Linked DNA regions of Oryzias latipes. The protein of the gene in region 1 interacts with the protein of each later gene in a biochemical or structural test. Links are inferred from orthologs where the notes say so. Each region holds a gene or a part of one and is shown in the gene's direction. Other genes may lie near its edges.

The links.
Region 2: the proteins of melanocortin receptor 4 (region 1) and pomc form a complex in vitro, tested with the Homo sapiens proteins (2 studies listed by BioGRID). The link is inferred for Oryzias latipes from reciprocal best matches to the Homo sapiens genes MC4R and POMC.

Annotation. Positions count from the first base shown.
Region 1 is NC_019878.2:23,831,412-23,835,142, forward strand, and holds melanocortin receptor 4, read left to right. Parts: upstream 1-1,176; 5' UTR 1,177-2,044; coding exon 2,045-3,010; 3' UTR 3,011-3,117; downstream 3,118-3,731.
Region 2 is NC_019860.2:10,968,572-10,972,333, forward strand, and holds pomc (pro-opiomelanocortin), read left to right. Parts: upstream 1-1,188; 5' UTR 1,189-1,309; intron 1,310-2,062; 5' UTR 2,063-2,065; coding exon 2,066-2,182; intron 2,183-2,516; coding exon 2,517-3,038; 3' UTR 3,039-3,173; downstream 3,174-3,762.

The DNA of each region.
Region 1 (3,731 bases):
AGATTCTAGACCAGGGGCGCCCAAATCCAGCCCTCGAGGGCCGGTGTCCCACATGGTTTCCAACCATCCTGCCATTGAAGCTCCTCGTCGGCTAAACACACCTGATCCATGTAATCAACAGCAGATAAGGCAGGGTTTCTGGAAAACTAGCAGGGGGCCGGCCCTCGAGGCCTGGATTTGAGCAACCCTCGTCTAGACAGATGGACCTCAACCTCCTCCCAGAGTGTCCAGAGTGACCTGCACGTCTCAGAGTTCTGGAGATGTTCAGGTCCATCCCTAATGTAGAGGATATGTTCAGGTCCAACAGGGACGGAACGGTCCAGTCGATCATTCTCTCAGCATAGTAAACATTGTCTGCTGTCTGAGTTTGATCCTGGGTGTGGCTCTAATCAGTGATGGCGGAGGTCAGCATGGACTCACCAATGGCGGAAAACTGCACCATGGTTTTGGCTGGGAGCTTGAGCTTCTTCAGCTCCTCAAGAAGAGCTTTTTCTTAACTAAAAGACCCATTTGAGTCGATTTCTCACTGACCGACCACAACCTAAAACGTGCCCCAAAGTCCGACTTCACCCTTCAGAAGATTAAGATTTATAGTAATGGTTTTGTTACTATTATGATAACAATAAAGGAATTCTTGTTTTATATCATAAATAAAAATAAAGAGAAAATAGGCTTTTTTATTCAGGAAGTATAACTTTTGACAAAGGTCTTTGACAAAATGTCACAGAAGCTCATCTCAATGCAGTGAAAGAAGCAGTTTGATTTAATGTAAACAAATAAATACATTTTTTCCAATTTGCGCCTTCAGTATAAATTCTGGTTGTGCTTGCCGACCTCCAGTTGATTTTCTGTGGTTAACGGCGCTCGTAAATCTGTCAAAATGTTTTAGGTCAACTTTGGTAAAAGCCACACTGCTGGATGGATTGTTGGGGCATTATGGGTACTGTAGTCAGGAGCTTGACAGTGATACGAACTGTTCTTCAGCTGTTTAGGGATGGATTGAATAACAATGGAGTTGCCCCGGACCCCTGACTGATGGAGGCGTAAAAGACGAGCCAGGCAGGGGGGGGGGGGGGGGGGTTTGAAAGGGTTAGTCTACTGCAAGTATCTGCTGAGTCTTCATCTCTCTTGTTTCCTCCAATGTTCTCATTGCATTCTTTTCGTTAGAGTCTGAACGGGTCTCCTCATCTGAGGTTTCTCCTTCTTTTCTAAGTAATAGATTACAATAGATAACAGTTACATTTATAATATCATTTTTGTGTGATGGAACACTTCCTGTTCTGAGGACAAACCACAGAGACTCACATATTTCATTTCTGGATGGTAGTATGTTTATTTTCATTTTTCTGTGTTTCAGCAGAGGGTCTTCATGACAACAAGCCTCTGACTGAGACGGTCGCTGGTTTCATGTCAGCTTAATGTATATTCATAAACAAGCTGACTAAGAGAAATGCATCAATGAGGCAAAGTTTTAGTTTAAAAACATTTAATTTACTGCAGGATTACTCTATTTTTACATCAAAATGTGGAAAATTTCATATTCATGAGCAAATTTATCTATAAACTGAAACTAAAGTTTCCCTTCCTTCACTGTTGGAGCTTTTTTTTAATTTTCTATATTGTTTACATTTTTATCAAATGAACCACAGGGGAAGAAGTGCTGCAGCAGCCATTGTGAAAATTCCATTCATGCATTTGGTCGACCTAGCTCCTCCTCCTCCTCCTCCCTCCTTATCAGCGAGCAGACAGGATGGGGTGGGGTGGGGGGCTGCTATAATAACAGAGAGGCGGAGGGCAGAGACAGACCGAACAGGCTTGTGCAGCGATGCTCTGCTGGCTGGAGCACAGTGACGGGGAGCCTCCTGATTTCCGTTTCTTAGACTTATTTTAGGGTTTTTGACAAACCAGAGTGGAAAAATAAAAGGTATCTACAGACGACTGTCTTCTGAAAAAGAGAAGAAGACTTTTTTTTTCTTTCTCTTTCTTGGAGCTCATAAAGTCCATGGATTGATAGAAACAAAGAAAAGCATTGCTTGCTGTCATCATGAACTCCACTCTGCCTTATGGGTCGGTCCCCAACAGAAGCCTCTCCTCGGCCACTCTCCCTCCTGACCTGGGAGGACAGAAAGACTCGTCGGCGGGATGCTACGAGCAGCTTCTGATCTCCACTGAGGTCTTCCTCACTTTGGGCATCATCAGCCTGCTGGAGAACATCCTGGTTGTTGCTGCGATCGTTAAAAACAAGAACCTCCACTCCCCCATGTACTTTTTCATCTGCAGCCTCGCAGTAGCCGATATGTTGGTCAGCGTCTCCAACGCGTCTGAGACCATCGTCATAGCGCTCATTAACGGAGGCAACCTGAGCATTCCTGTCAGGCTCATCAAGAGCATGGACAATGTGTTTGACTCCATGATCTGCAGCTCTCTGCTGGCCTCCATCTGCAGCTTGCTGGCCATTGCCGTTGACCGCTACATCACCATCTTCTACGCTCTGCGATACCACAACATCGTGACGCTGCGGCGAGCAGCCGTGGTCATCAGCAGCATCTGGACGTGCTGCATTGTGTCGGGTATCCTCTTCATCATCTACTCGGAGAGTACCACGGTGCTCATCTGTCTCATCACCATGTTCTTCACCATGCTGGTGCTCATGGCCTCCCTCTATGTCCACATGTTCCTGCTGGCACGTCTGCACATGAAGCGGATCGCGGCGCTGCCGGGCAACGCGCCCATCCACCAGCGGGCGAACATGAAGGGCGCCATCACCCTCACCATCCTCCTCGGGGTGTTTGTGGTGTGCTGGGCGCCGTTCTTCCTCCACCTCATCCTCATGATCACCTGCCCCAGGAACCCTTACTGCACCTGCTTCATGTCGCACTTCAACATGTACCTCATTCTCATCATGTGCAACTCCGTCATCGACCCCATCATCTACGCTTTCCGGAGCCAGGAGATGAGGAAAACCTTCAAGGAGATCTTCTGCTGCTCCAACGCTCTCCTGTGTGTGTGACGTATGTGTGTGTGTGTCTGTGTGGCTGCAACGTTCAACCAATCAACTGTCCTGGAGTGGCATGTAGCAGGAATGCTCATGTGACCAGCATGCATCCACATCTACAACCTCTGGATTCCACAGAGTTACAGGAACACAAAAGTCCCACGGTTTCAAAAATGACCTGAAGGCAGCACCAGGAGCTCACGCACCGAAACGGAGCCATGATCACAGGATGATGGACGGGAGAAACAAATGAACATACAAACAATTCCACTGGCATCAAAAGAAAATAGCAAAAACACTTCTTCTCTTGTAATGGTAATTCTAAAATCAAACACACTTGGCTTGGTCTGATCTGCCAATCAGGGTGTTTTACTTGAATGGAGCCAGAACAGTGTGTGAAGGTGTTTAAGGGAGATGGCCCAGGTTCTGCTCACATCCCTGGAAAAACCTTACGGCAACAGAAAAAGGAGCACAAGCAACAAACCCCCTTTCTCTCAGGTCCATCTTCCTGATGATGCACTGACGGAAAATAGGATTAAATGTGAAAAGAAAATCTCAAATCATGACTTTCTCAGGCACTATTTTACATGACCGTTATGCATTCTTCCTTTTGTTTTTGTTTAGGTCTGTTTTATGTTCAGAAGAAGCTCATATGAGAAAATGAACCCATGAACAAGCAGCTATGAACAGAAAAGAAACATAAATGCACTTGTGAAAAGAAAAAAAATGAAATTTT
Region 2 (3,762 bases), on another chromosome or scaffold:
TTTTTAGATTTTGCCTAAAAACACCATCATTTTAATTGAAAGACCACAGGGAACGCTTTTATAATAGATCCAAAGATGATCATCCATCCATCCAACCATTTCCTCAACCTGCCTCATTCCTTTTGGGGTCACAGCGTTGCTGGAAACTGTCTCAGGTACTGTTGGATGAAGGCGGGGTACACCTTGGACAGGGTGCCTGTCTGTCGCACTCACACTCACACACCTAGAGACCTAGGGACACTTTAGAGTAACCAATCAATCTATAAAGCATGTGTTTGGAGTCTGGAGTGCCCAGAGATTGATCCATCTTTTCAATATTTTTTCAAACATTCAGGACCACTTTACAAAATTTATCTAAATGTGACTTTCTCAGTTGAATGAAGATTAAATAAAAATATCCTTCTGCAGCCATGTCCATGGACGTTGGCTACAGTGCTGCTGACCTTAAACTCACAGTATATTTAATAAGCTTAAGTAACAGGAACATCAAGCTGTTTGGAGATGATCTGTTTTATTAACAGAAGGGGAGCAGCCATGCATCTACATGTTTTTCACTGATTATAAGGAGCTGTGGGAAGCGTGTCCTGGATGGAAAATGTGGCTGCTCTTCATCAGCTGCTCCATGAAATCAGATGAACTCTCCACTGATTCAGCATTAGGGCCACCCGGACCCTGGACAAAGAGATGCCGCTCAGCGCAGCTTTGTGGGTGTGTGACTGTACACCCTGACCCGCGACTTTGACGAAATCCCACCTGGGTGTTAAGCTGCAGAAGCTGCTGCCTGACATTTCACAGACAACAGCAGCGGCGAGGCGCTTTCACGCAGATTTAAACTGATGAGTTTTAGCTGCTGTAGCTTAGATGTGTTTGTTTTCTGTTCCATTTGTGCTTTTTACAATTAAAAGTGACCAAAAAATCTGTGATGTTAAAGACAAACATAAATTCTGAAAACATTTGTTTTGTCTAAAAATCGAGAAAACAAAATAGAAAAAAAAAATGAAGGCAGGTCTTCATGTGTGTGTGCTTGTATCCGTGTGTGTGCAGTGAATGGACGAGGGTGGATCTGGGACATTTTTTATTGATTTTTTGTGTGCGTTTTTGACCGCAAACCCATGCACACGTCATCTGTGTATGCGTGTGTGTGTTCACGCATGTGTGTGCGTCCTTGGTCAGCAGAATATAAAAGTCCAACTCTGCTCGAAGCATCAGAGCAGAAGAGGATCAAGGGAAATCTTCATCCGGCGGCTAAACAAAACAGAAAGCAGCAGCAATAAGAGGAAGAGGAGAGACAAAGAAACTATAAGGAGGGGTGAGAATATTTTATTGTACTTTATAATGAAAATGTAAAAAAAAGTTGTATTTTTAAAGTTTTACAGCCTTTTTACTTCACTTAATTACTAAATTACTAATAATTTTTAACTAACAGTTTCTAAATCAGAGCAGATTTTAAAAAAAAAATTAAGACCAGTGTTAAATATTCGAGGTTAAGAAAACAAAGTGCTTAATATATGAAACTTAAATAAATATTTTATTTTTATTTGTTAATTCTCCAATCTGATCTCCAAAATACATATATTAATACAATAATTTTGCATCATCTAATAATATTATTAAGGTAAAATGGTGAAATGTAAATTTCTTAACATGCTTGTTTTAGGTCTTTTAAAAAGTTTAAATATTTGATTTTAGATATACTTTTCTTAATTTTTGTGACAACGTGTAACCTTTGTGATTGAATAAATAAAAAAAAGGTTAAAAAAATGATATAACCGGTGCCAAAACAAGGTGCTAAAATAATATATCAATGTTTTGATTTTGTTTTTATTCAGTCAGATTTGTGGCCACCACTGTTTTTTTAACATATATTAAAAACAAAGATGTGTTTTTTTTCTTGTCAAATTACTTCCAAAACCTGTGGTTTTTACTTAAAAAATGAAATGTAAACAATAAAAGAAGAGTATAATTGAAAAAAAAATTAACCCCAAAAGATAACTAATCTACATAAAAATTGATTTTAAAACTCCAAAACTGAGTGGGATTGTGTTTTTTTTTTGCTTCACAGAGGATGTATACCGTTTGGTTGCTGGTGGCCGTGGTGGTTGTCGGTGGGGCTGAAGGAGCAGTCGGCCAATGCTGGAAGCACTCCAGCTGCCAGGAGCTGGACTCTGAGAGCAGCATGACGGTACAGAAGACGGTCAAAGCAACAATAAGCAGAATCTGCATTTCCTGATCATTTTCATCCACAGTTCAGCTGTTTTGTTGCTTCAAATGGAGTCAAAACAGAATTTTTTGACTCGACTTCTCTGTTGGTTAATTCTTCCTACATTTACCAATAATTCAGATTTAAGGGGTTTGAGAATCTGTAAAATAAAGTGCAAATTTTGACCCAAAAATAGGTTTTTCTTTAGGAAAATGTGATAAGCACTTTAAACTCAACATCCACATCTCCCATTACAAAAACACATCTGCTGTTTTAACACCTTCAGTTGACTGTCAATCTCATCTTTTTACTCCAGGAGTGCCTCCAGCTCTGCCGCTCTGACCTCACCGCCGAGACCCCCCTCATCCCAGGCAGCTCCCACCTCCAGCCTCCACCTCCCTCAGATCCCTTCTCTTTCATCTCTCCATCCCCTCAAACCAAACGCTCCTACTCCATGGAGCACTTCCGATGGGGCAAGCCCGTCGGGCGCAAACGTCGCCCCGTCAAGGTCTACACCCCAAACGGAGTGGAGGAGGAGTCCTCTGAGGTTTTCCCAGGTGAGATGAGGAGGCGGGAGTTGGCCAATGAGCTGCTGGCGGCTGCAGCGGAGGAGGAGGAGAGGGCTATGGAGGAGGTGGAGGAGGAGGAGGAGCGTCAGCATCTCCTGGCTGGCCTGCAGGAGAAGAAGGATGGCTCCTACAAGATGAAGCATTTCCGCTGGAGCGGCCCTCCCGCCAGTAAACGCTATGGCGGCTTCATGAAGAGCTGGGAGGAGGATCGCCAGAAACCACTGGTGACGCTCTTCAAGAACATCATCAACAAGGACGAGCAGCAGTGAGATTCCAGAAAAAAAGAAAAGAAAAAGGAGAAGTCAAAACACAAAAGGGGGGGGGGGATTTGCCATAAATAATCAGCAGGCAGCAAAGAGTTCTCATTGGTTCTTTTGTTCCCAATAAAAGACTCTGAAACTGCAGTGTTTTGGCGACAGAATTGTGAGGATTTTTACTGTGTTGTAAATAATAATATTCTTTAAATGAAAAGAGATTTATTTGCAAGCAATGACGAACGGTGTTTGTCTTTTTCTCTACATCCGACATCAGCTTAAAGTCCCACTCCAATCATCCTATGATCTATGTTAAAGCAGTGGTCTTTAAACTATGATTATGATTTTTTTCCAGTAAAATCTCTAAAATCTGGGCCGTTTACCAAGACAGAGTTTCTGCAGAAGCTCATCAGAAATTGACCTCTGAGTTGTGGGTGGGGCCATTGGCATGGAGTAAGCTCTACCACACTCCCCGTCATCCTTCTTGTTTACACTCTCTCCCACTAGCTTACAGCCCCTCACAACCCCAACCTAACATTTGCGGTGCAGTTTTGAGCCAGATGCCAGCTTGGAAGAAGAAGCAAAAATGTACTATATTTCCCGCACTAAACGGGGGCACCAGATCATAAGGTGCACCCTATAGCACATTCTTAAACTCACACTATATCGAGAAAGTATTGGCTCACCCACTTTGACTCGCACATGAACGGAAATGGCATCCCTATCCTAACCCATAGTT